3 linked regions of the Drosophila melanogaster genome follow. The protein of the gene in region 3 interacts with the protein of the main gene of each other region in a pairwise test. Each region holds a gene or a part of one and is shown on either strand. Other genes may lie near its edges.

The links.
Region 1: the proteins of snf (region 3) and pps interact in a two-hybrid assay, tested with the Drosophila melanogaster proteins (one study listed by BioGRID).
Region 2: the proteins of snf (region 3) and THG interact in binary tests that used the Drosophila melanogaster proteins (3 or more experiments, as listed by UniProt).

Annotation. Positions count from the first base shown.
Region 1 is NT_033777.3:12,411,979-12,419,830, reverse strand, and holds the start of pps (protein partner of snf), read right to left. Parts: upstream 6,004-7,852; 5' UTR 5,675-6,003; coding exon 5,545-5,674; intron 5,480-5,544; coding exon 5,075-5,479; intron 4,961-5,074; coding exon 3,243-4,960; intron 3,184-3,242; coding exon 2,702-3,183; intron 2,614-2,701; coding exon 2,439-2,613; intron 2,384-2,438; coding exon 1,856-2,383; intron 1,791-1,855; coding exon 1-1,790. Other genes in the region: Dip-C (dipeptidase C), read left to right, coding at 6,448-7,852.
Region 2 is NT_033779.5:15,007,986-15,011,515, forward strand, and holds THG (tRNA-histidine guanylyltransferase), read right to left. Parts: upstream 1,740-3,530; 5' UTR 1,719-1,739; intron 1,708-1,718; exon of another isoform or gene 1,614-1,707; 5' UTR 1,613-1,613; coding exon 1,465-1,612; intron 1,410-1,464; coding exon 697-1,409; 3' UTR 504-696; downstream 1-503. Other genes in the region: NC2beta (negative cofactor 2beta), read left to right, coding at 1-484; Rnmt (RNA guanine-7 methyltransferase), read left to right, coding at 2,033-3,233, 3,291-3,373. UniProt on the Drosophila melanogaster protein: Adds a GMP to the 5'-end of tRNA(His) after transcription and RNase P cleavage.
Region 3 is NC_004354.4:5,307,351-5,311,019, reverse strand, and holds snf (sans fille), read right to left. Parts: upstream 1,779-3,669; 5' UTR 1,667-1,778; coding exon 1,314-1,666; intron 889-1,313; coding exon 591-888; 3' UTR 519-590; downstream 1-518. Other genes in the region: Cdk7 (Cyclin-dependent kinase 7), read left to right, coding at 2,126-2,191, 2,263-3,258. UniProt on the Drosophila melanogaster protein: Binds stem loop II of U1 snRNA. It is the first snRNP to interact with pre-mRNA. This interaction is required for the subsequent binding of U2 snRNP and the U4/U6/U5 tri-snRNP. Plays a role in regulating sex-lethal splicing.

The DNA.
Region 1 (7,852 bases), on a different chromosome or scaffold from region 3:
GCGGTCTGCAGCGCTGGTGGCAACTTATCGCCGCTACCCAAGGGGAATATGTAAAAGTCGCGTATCTGATCCGAGTCCACGCCCAGGACGCCCAGACGCTGACGCGAGTCCAGGTATTCGAAGAAGAGATCAAACTTATACGTTTCGCTGGGCGAGGCGGGGAATATGTTCACAATGACCACTTCCTTTGTGGGACTCTTCTTTAGCTTCTTGATATATTCCCAGACATTAACGCGGGTTATGCGACCGATTACGTCCATCTGACTTGGCATCAGGTTACCCAATTGATGGCAGTTACCCTGCACGGGGTACATGACGATTTCGAAGTCGGCCAAATCGATCATCTTGAGAGTACCGGACCACAGTGAACTCGTCGTCAGGCCGTGCAAGTAGCGGGAGTAGTTGTCCATTGGCTCAGGTGCCTTCAAAGAACTCGGAAGCGTTGGAAGTGGCTTGGGTGACGGCTTTGGTTTGCCTAGATTCGCCGCCTGCTCGACTGTTTTCTCCGATTCCAGAATTTGATCAACCAAGTTGTAAGCACTCGCCTCGGTTTTCTTTTCCGCCGTCTTTTTGGGTACCGGCGATTGGTCGTTTTCGTCCCTCTTCTTGGGCAAGGGTGATGGAACGATCTCATCCCTTTCCCGGCTCTGTTTCTCACGCGATCTATGCTCACGCTCCCCGCTGCCTGGCTGCTCTCCTCCTTCGTTGTGCTGCCTGCGATGGCGCTTATCGACGCTTCGACCCCGACTATTGGAACGACTTCGACTGCGCTTTCGATGATGATGCTTGTGGCTCTTGTGTCGCTTTTCCTTCGATGAACCCGCCTTTTCCCTGGACGTGGAACGTTCCAGTGTGGAGGTAGACGGCTCACTGACCAGCGACGTCTGTTTTGTGTCCGCCATAGATGATGCTTCACTAACGTTCTCTTCGGGCAGCGTAACATCCACTTTGGTGGCGATTACCTCCTCTCCCTTGTGTGTTTTCACCACATAGTTTTGGGCACATGCCAACAAGTCCAGCTCCGATTTCTTGATCATATCCAACTGGTGACGGTTTTCCTCCTCCCGCCACTTGGCCAACTCTTGGCTGGCCAGCTGTTCCGGCGTCATCCGCACCAACTGCCTGGGCTCCACTTGCTTGGCACAAATCTTTTCGAAAAGCGTTCGGTTCTTGCGATCCTTTATGTTGAACATAAGCGATCGATACTTGGCCTTGTACTTGGCTCCCACGTCTCGGCCAAACGAGTTGAACATTTCCAGCTCCACGTTCTTGACAAACTGATCCACCTCAAGTACGGTCGGCCACTGAGTCGTTGGCTGGCCAGAGTTCTCCTCGGCAGCCTGAGCTTCTTTGATTCGCGCTAGTAGTTGCTCCCTGAGTGATCGCCGGATGCCGATTCGAACCGGCTCGGGTTTGCCCGCTGCGATACGATTAGGGGTTGGCGCCTGTACTGTAGGTGTTGTCTTCTCTTTATCCTTTTTGGCCAAAGGACGCACGGAAGAGATTCCAAGTTGGTGGCTTGCCTGAACTGTGGTGTTTTGGGGATGGGACAATTTGGCAGGACCTTCAGGTGGCTTTTTTGCAACTCCTAGCACGGCGGGTTCTGAAGTTGAGGTGGCGGCTTCCGGTGCCCCTTTCAGCAAACGCTTCTCTGCGTCGGCTGACTGAACGGTTCCTGAGGGCAGCACCTCGAAGGAGGGATTCTCCTGAAGCCATTTCCGAAACTGATGTGCAGAAGGGGCCATGTGCCCGGTGATAACCCGACCACTTTTACGCTCAAACACATTAATCTGCAAAGCAAAGTGTGCACATTATTTGTTGTATAGTTCTAATTAAATTAACCTTTATTGCATACCCGTTCCACTTTTGACACAGTGTCCGCTTGCCTCAGCACGTCCTCAAACAAGTCCTTCTTCTTGTTCTTTTTGGCATCGAAGGAGTTGTTCAGCAAAGACTGAGCACCGGCATTCTGTGGCAATGGGCCTTTGGTAGCAGCATGTGCTTGAATTGCACTTTGGGCATACTTCCGGATGCACTCTTCGCCACAATAGACGGAAGAGGTGCTCGCCGGTCGCTTGCAGACCACACATAACGTCTCCGAAATTCGTTTGCCAGGTGATGGGCCCAGTCTGATAAAGTTCAGCTGCTGCTGCTGCTGGTGAGAGATTGCACCGGTTGGGAACTTTTTGGCCGGCTTTGCCATTGGAATACGCATGGGGGAACTGGCTACAGTTAAGACCACCGGTAGTGTTCTTCTGGGAGCCGAAGGAGCCGCGACCTGAACAATTTCTGCTGTCGTAGTTAGTACTTTGGTTTCACTCGGCCTCTGCTCAGGTTGAGTGGTTGGTCTGGTGACCAACATGTCTGTTATTCGTGGTTGGCTCTACAAAGATAACGAATCAATAAAAGGTAACTTTATGTCTATTGTATGACTTTACCCTCTCCTCCTGCCTTTTAACGCATTTGGGGCACTTCCAGTCGATGCCCTTGTTTTCCATATCTGTGCCCATCGCCTTGGTCACCCCCACGCATGTGCCGTGGAACCAATCCTCGCACAAATCGCAGCAGATCATGAAACGATTGTTGTGTGGCTGACGACAAATGCACCAGAGCCTAAACCAAAAAAAAAAAAAAAAAAACAAAAAAGGTTTTCAACAAACGCACAGATTTGCATCTATGAAATATCCAACTATAATCTTACTTGTTGGGGTCATCGTCATCCTCCTGAGACTCTGAAGCGTCGGGATCATTGTTCTGACTTGCATCAAGCTTCTTTGATCTTCTGGGTGCCGTTGAACGTCTGGCCATCGATGGCTCTCTAGGATTGGGTCGTTTCGGCCCACTTCCCGGCTGGCTGTCATTGCTCAGGCTGCTGGTATTGAGCGGCTGATTGATGCTCGCATCCAACGAAGATTCACCAAACGACAGGTTGCCTGCATCACTGGAACTGGTCGCAGCCATGCCCGGAGCTGAAGGAAACTGTGCTCGTCGCTTGGCCCGCGTGGTGGGGGCTTCAATGGGAGGCAGGTATATGACCCGACCGTAGCCGCGCACAACCTTCGCGGAGGTGGGCGGAGTGCTTGCTGCCACGCTCCTCGAGGGTGTACTGCAGGCAATCGGCAATGAGGTCATCGATTGTGCGGGCTCCGTAAGACTTGCATTCGGCAGTAGGTTCGTGTGTGCCTGTAAAGGAGCAATGCAGTTAGCTAGCAAAATCAATAACCAGGATATTCTACACTTGCCTGTACTTGCGGCACGTCTACGGGCTCAATGGACGTAGGCATAGATACGATGGCGTCCAGGGTTCCGGGCTCTGTACTAGCCAATACTTGCTTAACCACCTCGGCCTCAAACTGTTTGTCCTCCTCGATGAGACCGACCACGTGCTGGAGAAAATCAGCTGTAATCTCATCCTCATTCGCCGTATCCATTATATTATTCGGATCGGCTGCAGCTGCATTTCCCACTCCCTGCATCTCGGGAGCTGGAAAAATATTCGTAGGCAAGGACACTGGTGGCGGATCTAGATCCGCCGCTGTACTCTCCAGCATCTTAACCAGTTTCGGTATATCCTCGTCCGCATTTACTACCGGCTGCTCCACAAGCGTGGACTTAAGTAGCTCGTCCTGCACAATCGAGTTGATCAGATCGAGCTGCTTGTCATTTTCTGCTGCCAGCTCGGAGGAACTCTGGTGCGTCTCGATTACTATTTGGGCGGGCAGTTTATGCGACTGAGCTGTGTCCACGCCGATGGGCATGAAGCCCTTGGATGGGGTATGTGCCTGAGCAGGAACCGGAACCACAATTGGCGACATCTGCTGATTGTAGCTCGATCTCGGCGTGCTTGGCGACATGACGGCCCGGTGTCGGAGTGGAACTGGCGAAGATTTTGTGGCTGCATTGTTGTCCTCACCCAGCAAAGTGTTGAGATTGGTAAACACTCCTTTGGGACTGGCCATATTCTTGTTGATAATAATCTCTTTAACTTCCTGCGGCGAGTTTACGATCCTTCCCAATTGCACGGCAGGCATACGACGAACATTGGAATTGGCCGGTGTCGTTGGCAGTGGAGGTCTCTTCACAGGCAGCGATTGATGTGTGGGCCGGATTTTGAGAAACGATGTGCTTGGAAGACCTCTGCCTAGGGCAAACACTGCGGGCACTGATTTTGTGGCAGGCATCTGGATTATTTGCCCAATTTGCGGCGCCTTCGGCTCCAAAACTTCCTTGCGTTTCTTCAGCTCGGGGAAGTGCTGCGGCGTTGTGGGTGGCGGAGGCAGCGGCTTCATTGGTTTGCTGGGAGTCTGCCTAACCACCTTTCTAACCCGCTTCCTCTTATTCGGATTACGTCTATTGCTATGCCTCATATCGAAGTCCATGTCACTGTCCCTGTCGTTGTCCGATTCCTGGAACTCATCGCTCTCCTCACTCATTTCCTCCGAATCATAGGCCTTGTCGGCATTTTCCTCTTCGGCGGAATCCGAGCTTTGGGCGTCATCATCATCTTCGATGTATTCCTGCACAGGCGGAGCAATCACTTTGACTGGAGCACGAGTGGGCCTCAGCCTGGCATTGACCGAATTGTTCGCGATAATCTCTGGCTTCTGTCTTGGCAGTGGCGAATGGATGGGCTTGCGGATCAGCTGCACTTTCGGTTGCAGCTGCGCTGCCTGCTGAACTTGGTGGGGCTTGACTGGCAGTCTCTGGACCTTGACCTGCACCGGGCTTAAGGGTATGGCCTGGACTCGTTTTTTGGCATTGATTAGCTTGACACTGCCCGGTGCCTGCATTATGATTTTGCGGCTTTGGGCCTGCATTTCCATGGCCATCTTCTCATCGCGCTTGTGGTTCTTCAGCTGCTCTGGCGAGGTAAACGGTGTGTAGTTGTGGTCATTTCGAATAACTTCCATAAGAGCGTCTGTCTCCGCAGTCCTTTTGTAGACGGAAACTCCGGCAAGCTCTGTAAATAGAATACAAATTAGTTGAAAGCTAAAGTTCGTTTACTTTCGTTGTGCTCGAAATAATGATGTTGTTTTGCTTTATCATTTGGACCACATCGATGTACGTTATTTACTCAGTGCATTTTTCACAACCATATCAGCCGTGTTGTCCGCATAAAACTGCTCCACTCGCAAACCCACAATTTGTGGACGCTCCTTGGGTTTGCGTCGCTTTCGCTTTTTGATGGCCTTGGGCTTTCGGCCAACTCGCTTGCGTGTGCGCGGGGCATCGGCTTCCGTCTCCGTGGAGTCGCTATTGTTGTCGTCACCGGTGTTATGGTTCTCCTCGTCGTGTTCATCCATCTCACTGGCATTATCGCCACCACTTTGGCTGCCATTGTCACTGTCCAGCTCCGAGTCGGTGGCAGTTTCCATAAAGTTCGCCAGCTCCTCCAGCCGTTCGTCTTCCTCTTGGTCCACCATGCTCGGCGTGGGCGATGTAATCCGCACCACGCTAATGGTGGAAATCGATTTTTCCTCTGCAACAAGCCCATGTCAGTGTGGGGAGCAATGAGCGTGTGTCAGGCCTATTGGACCCACTTACCCATGATGTTCCCAATCGCACGCTCGTCGAAGGAGATTCCGCTCTTGCTGTAGACCACAACCAGATTGGAGTCGGCTTCGGCTGCCGCCGGCCGGGCGCTGGGCGCCTCCGTAAACACCGAACTGGACATGACGCCAACTGCTCGTGATCCCCGCTAGCGGCGCATTGGAGTCGGCGGCCCACACAGCGTGTACTTAATTAGCTTGGAACAGAACAACGACTCATTTGTTGTTGCATCCGCCGCGTTGTGACGCCGACATTGAAATTGGATAGTAGGTGGAAAACGGTCACTGGGCTGCGTTCGCCCTATACTTAATACTGGTGATGCTCTGCTGGCTGCGCCCACAAGCTGGCTGTTATATTGTTGAGATTCGAGAGCTTAATCCGTTGCTGTTTCGCTTTAAAATGCAAATTTTTCTCAATTATGAAAATAAAATTTGCAAAAAAAGCCACTTCCAGTGTGACCAGACTTGGGAATGATGCCGATGCTGTAGGTTATCGATAGTTTCTGTGCCTCGCTCTGCGGAACTAGTTTCAATTGCTAGCTCATTTGAACAAAATGTTAATCTGTGTTTATTTAGGGAAATCCTTTATTTTCAAGGTCGGCTGCCAAAAAGGAAAACCGTATGATAAATAAATGAATTGAGCTAATTAAAAATATTAAAGAATATATTTAAAAAAATAAAATTCCCGATCGATGAATTGTAATTTAAGCTTGTTTTTTTTCGCGTTCAGTTCTCGGTCATACTTTTGCGAAAACAGAAAACAAAAAACACTGATAAAACCCACATAATTTACTGCCTTTGTTAGCCCGGTTATTGGCTATTATCAGCTAATCTCACTTGCTCGAGCACTCATTGTTGTCCAGAGCGCCAGTTAAACTTTGTCCTCCGTCGCAACACCATGGCCGCCTTTCAGATGGGATCGGGTTACGCAGTGCCCATGACCCTCTTCCGGAACAACAGGGATCGTGCTGGCAAGGCCATCCTTAAGGAGCTGCTGCCGGGCCTCAAGTTCAACGACGGCAACCTGCTGGTGCTCCTCGAGGGCGGCAAGGACCAGAGCCTGTACAACACCGACGTGGACTACGTTTTCCGGCAGGAGTCCTATTTCCAGTACTTGTTCGGTGTCAAGGAGCCGGGCTGCTACGGCATCCTAACCATTGATGTGAAAACTGGTGCACAGAAAAGTGTTCTCTTTGTTCCTCGCTTTCCCGATGAGTACGGCACCTGGATGGGCGAACTGCTTGGGCTGCAGGAGTTCAAGGCCATGTACGAGGTGGACGAGGTGTTTTATGTTGACGAAATGAGTGTTTATCTGGAGGGGGCGTCGCCCAAGCTGATACTCACATTGAGTGGCACCAACAGCGATAGCGGGCTCACCCTTCAGCCGCCCGACTTTGCTGGCAAGGAGAAGTATGTGACTGACTGCAATCTGCTGTATCCAATTCTCTCTGAGTGCCGAGTGATCAAGTCACCCGAAGAGATCGAGGTGCTGCGCTACGTGGCCAAGGTATCCTCGGACGCGCACATCAAGGTGATGCGGTTTATGCGTCCCGGTAGAATGGAATTTGAGGGCGAATCCCTGTTCCTGCACCACGCCTACTCCGTGGGCGGCTGCCGGCATGCCTCCTACACCTGCATATGCGGCAGCGGAACGAACTCGTCGATCTTGCACTATGGACACGCGGGCGCACCCAACAGCAAGCCCGTCCAGGATGGTGATCTCTGCCTGTTCGATATGGGAGCCAACTATTGTGGCTATGCGGCCGACATAACCTGCACATTCCCGGCCAATGGAAAGTTCACCGACGACCAGAAGTTCATCTACAATGCCGTGCTGGATGCCCGCAATGCGGTCACAGAGTCAGCCCGTGACGGAGTCTCCTGGGTGGACATGCACAAGCTGGCGGGCAGGGTGTTGCTGCAGCGCCTGAAGGAGGGCGGCATGCTCAAGGGCGATGTGGAGGAGATGCTCGAGGCAGGTGTTTCGGGCGTGTTCCAGCCACATGGCCTGGGCCACTTGATCGGTCTGGATGTGCACGACGTGGGCGGCTATCTGCCCAAGGAGCCCAAGCGCCCCAGTGAACCGTGGCTGAGCAAGCTGCGCTTTGCCCGCATCCTTAAGGCCGGCATGTATGTCACAATCGAACCCGGCTGCTACTTCATCAACTGGCTGATGGACCGCGCTCTGGCCGATCCGAACATTGCTAAATTCATTAACGCAGAGATGTTCAATCGCTTCCGGAATTTCGGAGGTGTGCGCATCGAGGACGATGTGCTCATCACGAAGACTGGCGTGGAGAACT
Region 2 (3,530 bases), on a different chromosome or scaffold from region 3:
CAGCATCAACAAGATCATCAAGGAGCTGGTGCCCACGGTGCGGGTGGCCAACGAGAGTCGCGAGCTGATACTCAACTGCTGCTCAGAGTTCATTCATCTGATCAGTTCGGAGGCCAACGAGGTGTGCAACATGCGCAACAAGAAGACGATAAACGCAGAGCACGTCCTGGAGGCGTTGGAACGCTTGGGTTTTCACGACTACAAACAAGAGGCGGAGGCCGTTCTGCACGACTGCAAGGAGGTGGCAGCCAAGCGAAGGCGCCAGAGCACGCGCCTAGAGAACCTGGGCATTCCGGAGGAGGAGCTGCTGCGCCAGCAGCAGGAGCTGTTCGCCAAGGCACGCGAGGAGCAGGCGCGCGAGGAGCAGCAGCAGTGGATGAGCATGCAAGCGGCAGCAATGGTGCAGCGACCACCGCTGGCAGACGGCTCCGTTGCCAGCAAGCCAAGTGAGGATGACGATGACGATGACGACGACGACTACTAGTAGGAAATAGTCTTTCTATGAGCTTAGTGTAGATTTAATCTTAAAATATATGCCATAAGTTGAACTTTCAACTATTAGCTACTCTTCATTACGGATCATCCGTTTGTCCTTCACTCCAGCAGCCTGGGCACCGCATCCTCAATCTCCGAAACGACTTCCTTAGATGTATCGTAACTTTAATCTTTAAAAATGCAAGACTATTCGTTATTATATCAGCTGGTACCAGCCAGATTTTGTGGCTCCTCCGCCTCATTGTCATCCTTGCCATTTATTTGCATCTCCACCAATCGGGGAAAAGTTTGTGGTGCGTCGTATGTGCCTGGCACATATTTTCCCAATATTTCGGTGTGTTCCTTCCAGAACTGCGAAGATATCAGATCCTCGTGCAGCGGCACCACGGCCTGCCTGCTCTTCTCACCCAATATCACGCGTTTTCTCAGCAGAATCGTTCCCTTTCTGTACATTGCCGGCAGATTGTTGTAATTTATCCCGAATTCCTGGAAGAGCAGCTCATTTTTGTCCGCCGAAAAGGTGCCACGGAGTTTCGCCTCGGCTTGCTGGTTCGTCAGGCCTTTTTCCAAAACGAGTTTCCAAAAGGCGGTATTGTACAGGTTGTTCACATGCACATCGGCCTGTCGCCAGCTGAGATAGTCCTTTAGATTCTGCTCCGAAGGATACAGAACAACGCGACCATCGAAACACGGAGCATAGGCCAATGGCAGATTCATCCACTTGGACCATTGCATTACATAGCTCGAGGAGAACAAGCTGGTGACGTAGGTGAGCAGTTTGGCGGATCGTCGCTTGAACGCTGCCGTCTCTTTGCGAAAAACAAAGGAGTACTCATCACTTTGACCGTAGGCGAGGACAATATCCCGAAACTCCTGCATCACCGCCGTGGCAGCAGCATTCATCACATTGAGAGCTAAAGCGAATATTTAATGGGATTATTAAGAACTATAATGAGTGTTTTTTCTTACCATTTTCATCGTTGGGCTTTTCAAAATCGTGCGTCTTGGAGAACTTGTGGAACTTTTTGCCGTCTATTCGTATGACTATCCACACATTAGGCAGTATGCTGTCGTCCTGCTCAAAGGATTTAACGTACTCGAATCTGCTGCAGGCCATGCTGCGTTTTGGAAAATTCCGGGCAAGGGAATAATTCAATAATTTAACAAATTTATTCAAAGTTCCAAGCAACCGCATTTAAAAAGTTAAGAAATGCATGAGTTACCAACAGCTGATTGATGTTTTCCATTAACAGCACTGTTAACTAGTGCTTGACTAGTGATGGAACTTTTAAAATCTGTTTAGCTTTAATCTTAAAAGTAGCTAATGAGGATGGTTTAGAGAATATTGGTTTATAAAAAATTAATTAGGAAGAAAAATAAATTTAAATCTAAAATGTATATTTCTTATTCTGAATACTTTCCGCGCGAAATAACATCGAGTGCCGATAGCACTCGTGCACTCATTCCTAACTGACCCGATAACTTCGATAGGCAACGACTGTTGGTCATCCGGCAAAACAGAAAATTAATAGAGACTATGAGTCTTAATTACGAACAAAACGCGGCAGACGAGCAGTTCGCCCGCGCACACAAAGCAGTCAGCCTGTCGGACGACGAGGAGAGCGAGGGCCAAGCGGAGACCACGTCTGCACCAAATCAGGAGCCGCATGTTAGTAAATCACCGAGGGAGTACTACGATGAGCCTGGCGGGAAGGGCAATGGAAGTGGAGCAGATGATCAGGATGAGCCGGAAACGGAGGCTGCCAGCGGAGCGGCCAACACACATGTGGTGGCACACCACTACAACGAGCTGAAGGAGGCGGGCCGCAAGGATCGTCAGAAGTCAAAGATATTCTTCATGAGGAACTTTAACAACTGGATCAAGAGCCAGCTGATCAACGAGTATATGTCGCAGATTAAGCAGAACAAACGCATGGGTGATGCTCTCAGAGTTCTGGACATGTGCTGCGGCAAGGGCGGTGACCTTCTCAAATGGGAGAAGGCTGCCATCTCCCACCTCATCTGCACCGACATCGCTGAGGTGTCGGTGGAGCAGTGCCAGCGGCGATATCAGGACATCCTGCAGCGATCGGAGAAGTCGAAATTTGCGAATAAGTTTACCGCGGAGTTTTTTGCCTGCGACTCCACATTAGTGCGCCTGCGGGAACGGTATAAGGATCCTTCGCTTCAGCTGAATCTCGTGTCCTGTCAGTTTGCCTTTCACTATTGCTTCGAGTCAATGGCGCAGGCAGATTGCATGATGCGGAATGCAGCCGAGTGTCTGAAACCCGGTGGCTTCTTCATAGCCACAATGCCGGATGCCTACGAGATCATCCGCAGGCTAAGGGCAGCCGGTCCAGATGCCCGGCGTTTCGGTAACGATGTGTACAGCATTGAATTTGACTGCGAAACGGATCCTTTGCCGCTTTTCGGAGCCAAGTATCAGTTTCACTTGGAGGGCGTTGTCGATTGCCCCGAGTTCCTAGTGCATTTTCCCACGCTGGTCAAGCTGGGCAGAAAATACGGTCTGCAGCTATTGAAGCGCTCCACATTTGCGGATTACTACAAGGAAAATCTGCACCACGGGCGGCATCTTCTGCAGCGAATGTCCGGCTTGGAGTCGGTGCAGCCACAGCGCTGCGAGAATGATGAAGAGTTCGCCCATGTGAGTAACTTTCAGGGAGCACAGCGAAGCAGGTCGGTGGGAACCCTCTCGAAATCCGAATGGGAAGCAGCAAGTGAGTTTACTCAGCATCGACTTCTGAATTCCATTACTAAATAGCTTCTTATTTCAGCTCTTTATTTGGTTTGTGCCTTTAAGAAATGCAAAAACACCTGGGACACCAATGGCAAACCATTGTTCGAATTTGACGACTGATTATTGCCAAAAACATTCACGTTATAGACTATTATTCTGTACCCGTGGCTTAGCACTTTTAAAGTTTATACTCGAAAGCATGAACAGATTATTAATTTCAGAAAAGATTAGCTCCGTAGGTTACAATTCGTAAAACTAAGGGTATGTTTGTTTGTGT
Region 3 (3,669 bases):
ATATATATATATAATACACACACTTATCCCAGATTTATTATGCACACTCATAATACTCATCATTTGTGGTGCCTAAAGTATGATGATTGCATTACAATTGTAAGCCTGATGATGTTGTTACGGCGGAGGAGGACTACGTCGCTGAACGATTCTACATATAGCAAACATTTTGGGAATCCGAGGACTTGTGGGACTTACTCAACACACGCTCCCGCACACCAAACTGATGTTGATTTTGCAGCGAGCTTGATACACCATGCAGACTGAGCAAAGGGACGCTATATATATATATATATATACTACTATACACCATATACTATACACTAAATGGAAATATGTACAATCGACCGACATAAATAATACGCATTACTAGCTGTTAGTTATAAGTTTGCAGACAAACAAATAGATCTACACAATAAACAATCAACTATTCTATTCTATACTTTTGCCTTTAAGGATCTTTGGGCGAAATGGGATATGGGAGGGATATGGGCATATGGAATACTCGTAGTTTGTTTGTTTATATCGATTTATTCTATAGTTTAAATTATTATTGGAGTTGCTGGAACGCCCGGCGACTGGAGTTGCGTTCACTTCTTGGCGAACGTTATCTTCATGGCGTGCGTCGGCGTAATCTTGAAGCCCTGCAGCGCCTCCTTGGCGGCATTGCTCTGCAACTCGGTGGTGAACTCCACAAAGGCGATGTCGTGACGATTCGGCACAAGACGCACCTCCTTGAAGCCGGGGAACTGATTGAACAGCATGGACAGCATCATCTCGTTGGTCTCCTCGGGCAGATTGGTGAGGAAGAGGATCTGGTTCGGCGGCTGCTCGGTCTGTGCGTTCGGGTTCGAGTTCTCGGCGCTGCTCGGCTTCTTCTTCTTGTCCCTGTGCGAAACGAAAAAAAAAGGAGTTGTCTTAGTGTCACATGAAGTTGCATTTTTTTTTTGCCTAGTCATTCGCACATCCCAGAAAACTAGGATTACTACGGATTTTTGTCGCGCAAAAATGAACAAAAATGAAACATTTTGCAACTGAAACTCAAATCGCATCGATTAAAGAGCAAAAAGGAGTTGATAACTAAAGATATTATGAAGACTTGAGACACCTCTTGGTTTTCAAGTCCATAATTCTGGCCAAAAACTAACATTGGTTAATGCGGAAATGTTTTTAGTAGCAAAAAGGATTTCAGGCGTGCGAATGAAAACATTGGGTTTTTGCGAGGCAACAGGGAGCAACAAATGGTAGCACCATGGCCGTTGGCAACAAATGATTGAATCTAAACGGGCCCAATTAGCAATTGGGATACTCACTTCTTCTCATCGGTACCCGGCGCTGGTTTTGGTGGCTTGACCTTCTTGGGGCGCTCCTTGAAGGTACCCTTTATCTTGGCCACAATATCCGAATCGGATTTGGAGTAGGCGATCTGCATGGGCTTGTCGTAGAACGGGAAGCCCTGCATGGTGCGCAGGGCATTCGAAGCGCTGCCGATCTCCTTGAAGATCACAAATGCCTGGCCGCGCATTTTGAGCGTTTTTAGGGCCACAATGTCCAGAATTTGGCCGAATTGCGAGAAAATCGCATAGAGCGACTTCTTTAGCTCCTCCTTCTTGATCTTCTCGTTCAGATTGTTGATGTAAATCGTTTGGTTGGGTAGCATCTCCATCCTGTCGTGCGTTTTATTCACTTAATTCGACAAAAATCAACCAATTTGCTCTGTATTGTTGAGAAAAAAAACGAGTCTGTCATCGATAGCAGAAGGCATCGTTTGGGGCGGTCTATCGATATGTTATCGCACCGGTGTTTGGCAGTGTTGTTAAACTGCACATAGCTAAAAGTAGCTAAAATTAAATGACAATCACATGCAGCTAATTTAAATTGACAGTTGTGTATTATTTGCATAACTTGTTAAACTATAAAATTGATTAGCAATAAAGGAGCAATACGCTGTTTTTGCATTATTCTTAATAGACTCTGAAATCTAGTATTTTTTTTGGGGCGCGCGATAGGCCCTACCGGCGTCCATCGGTTATCGGCCATCGATAGCGTTTGCGAACTTGAATTGTTTTGATTCGGCCTCGCAGCATTTCAGTCATTTTCGTGCTATTTATGAGGCTCCTAAACGATGCTGCCCAATGCGAATGACAAAACGGAACGCTATGCCAAGCTATCCTTCCTCGGCGAGGGTCAGGTGAGTCCGCCGCCACGGAATATCAACCCAACGATCCATAACAATGTGCGCATTCCACTTTCGCACCGCAGTTTGCCACAGTTTACAAGGCGCGCGACACGGTGACCAACCAAATTGTGGCCGTAAAGAAGATCAAGAAGGGATCGCGCGAGGATGCACGCGACGGTATCAACAGGACAGCGCTGCGTGAGATCAAGATATTGCAGGAGCTGCAGCACGAGAATATCATTGGCTTGGTGGACGTTTTCGGTCAACTTTCGAATGTCTCGCTGGTTTTCGACTTCATGGACACGGATCTGGAGGTGATCATCAAGGATAACAAGATTATATTAACGCAGGCGAACATCAAGGCCTATGCCATCATGACGCTAAAGGGTCTGGAGTATTTGCATCTCAATTGGATACTGCACCGCGATTTGAAGCCCAACAATTTGCTGGTCAACAGCGATGGCATCCTAAAGATTGGCGATTTCGGTTTGGCCAAGTCCTTCGGTTCGCCCAATCGCATTTACACGCACCACGTGGTCACACGCTGGTATCGTTCGCCCGAATTGCTCTTTGGCGCCCGACAATATGGCACCGGTGTGGATATGTGGGCAGTTGGCTGCATTTTGGCTGAACTTATGCTGCGAGTGCCGTTCATGCCGGGCGATTCGGATCTGGATCAGCTGACACGGATCTTTTCCACACTGGGAACACCCACGGAAGCTGAATGGCCGCATTTGAGCAAACTGCACGACTATCTGCAGTTTCGCAACTTTCCGGGCACACCATTGGACAATATATTCACCGCCGCGGGCAATGACTTGATCCATCTGATGCAACGCCTGTTTGCCATGAATCCGCTGCGGCGTGTGTCCTGCCGCGAGGCACTGAGCATGCCGTATTTCGCTAACAAACCGGCGCCCACAGTGGGTCCCAAGTTGCCAATGCCGTCGGCCATTCTGGCCGCCAAGGAGGGCGCCAATCCGCAGACCGGCGACACGAAGCCTGCGCTCAAGCGCAAGCTGGTCGAGACTACGGTGAGGGGCAATGGATTGGCCCAGAAGAAGCGGCTGCAGTTCTAGCACACACACACACACACACACACACACACACACCCACACACACTCACTCAGTTAACACACACTTTCCATTATAACATTGATGTTTGTGATCGCGTTACGTTGTTCACCGCAGACATGCACAATAAGTTCTATTGAAAGGCTTAAGGATGCATTGCATCCACTCCAAAAGCTCCACTCCATTCTAATTGATATGAATTTTTCTCGCTTGGCAAAACCTTTTCGCCACCCAACATGAGTTGTTAAGACTATGCTTAAGATGATTGAGGATGATCTATTAAAGATGTGATTGAAAGCGAGCGAAAATTGAGTAGTTAATTAGTAGTACATAGGATCCTGGTAGGTTGTGCAAAAGCTGTTCCAGTGCACGCTACCGTATTTATATTTCTGAAAACAAATTGGTAACCAAGTCAA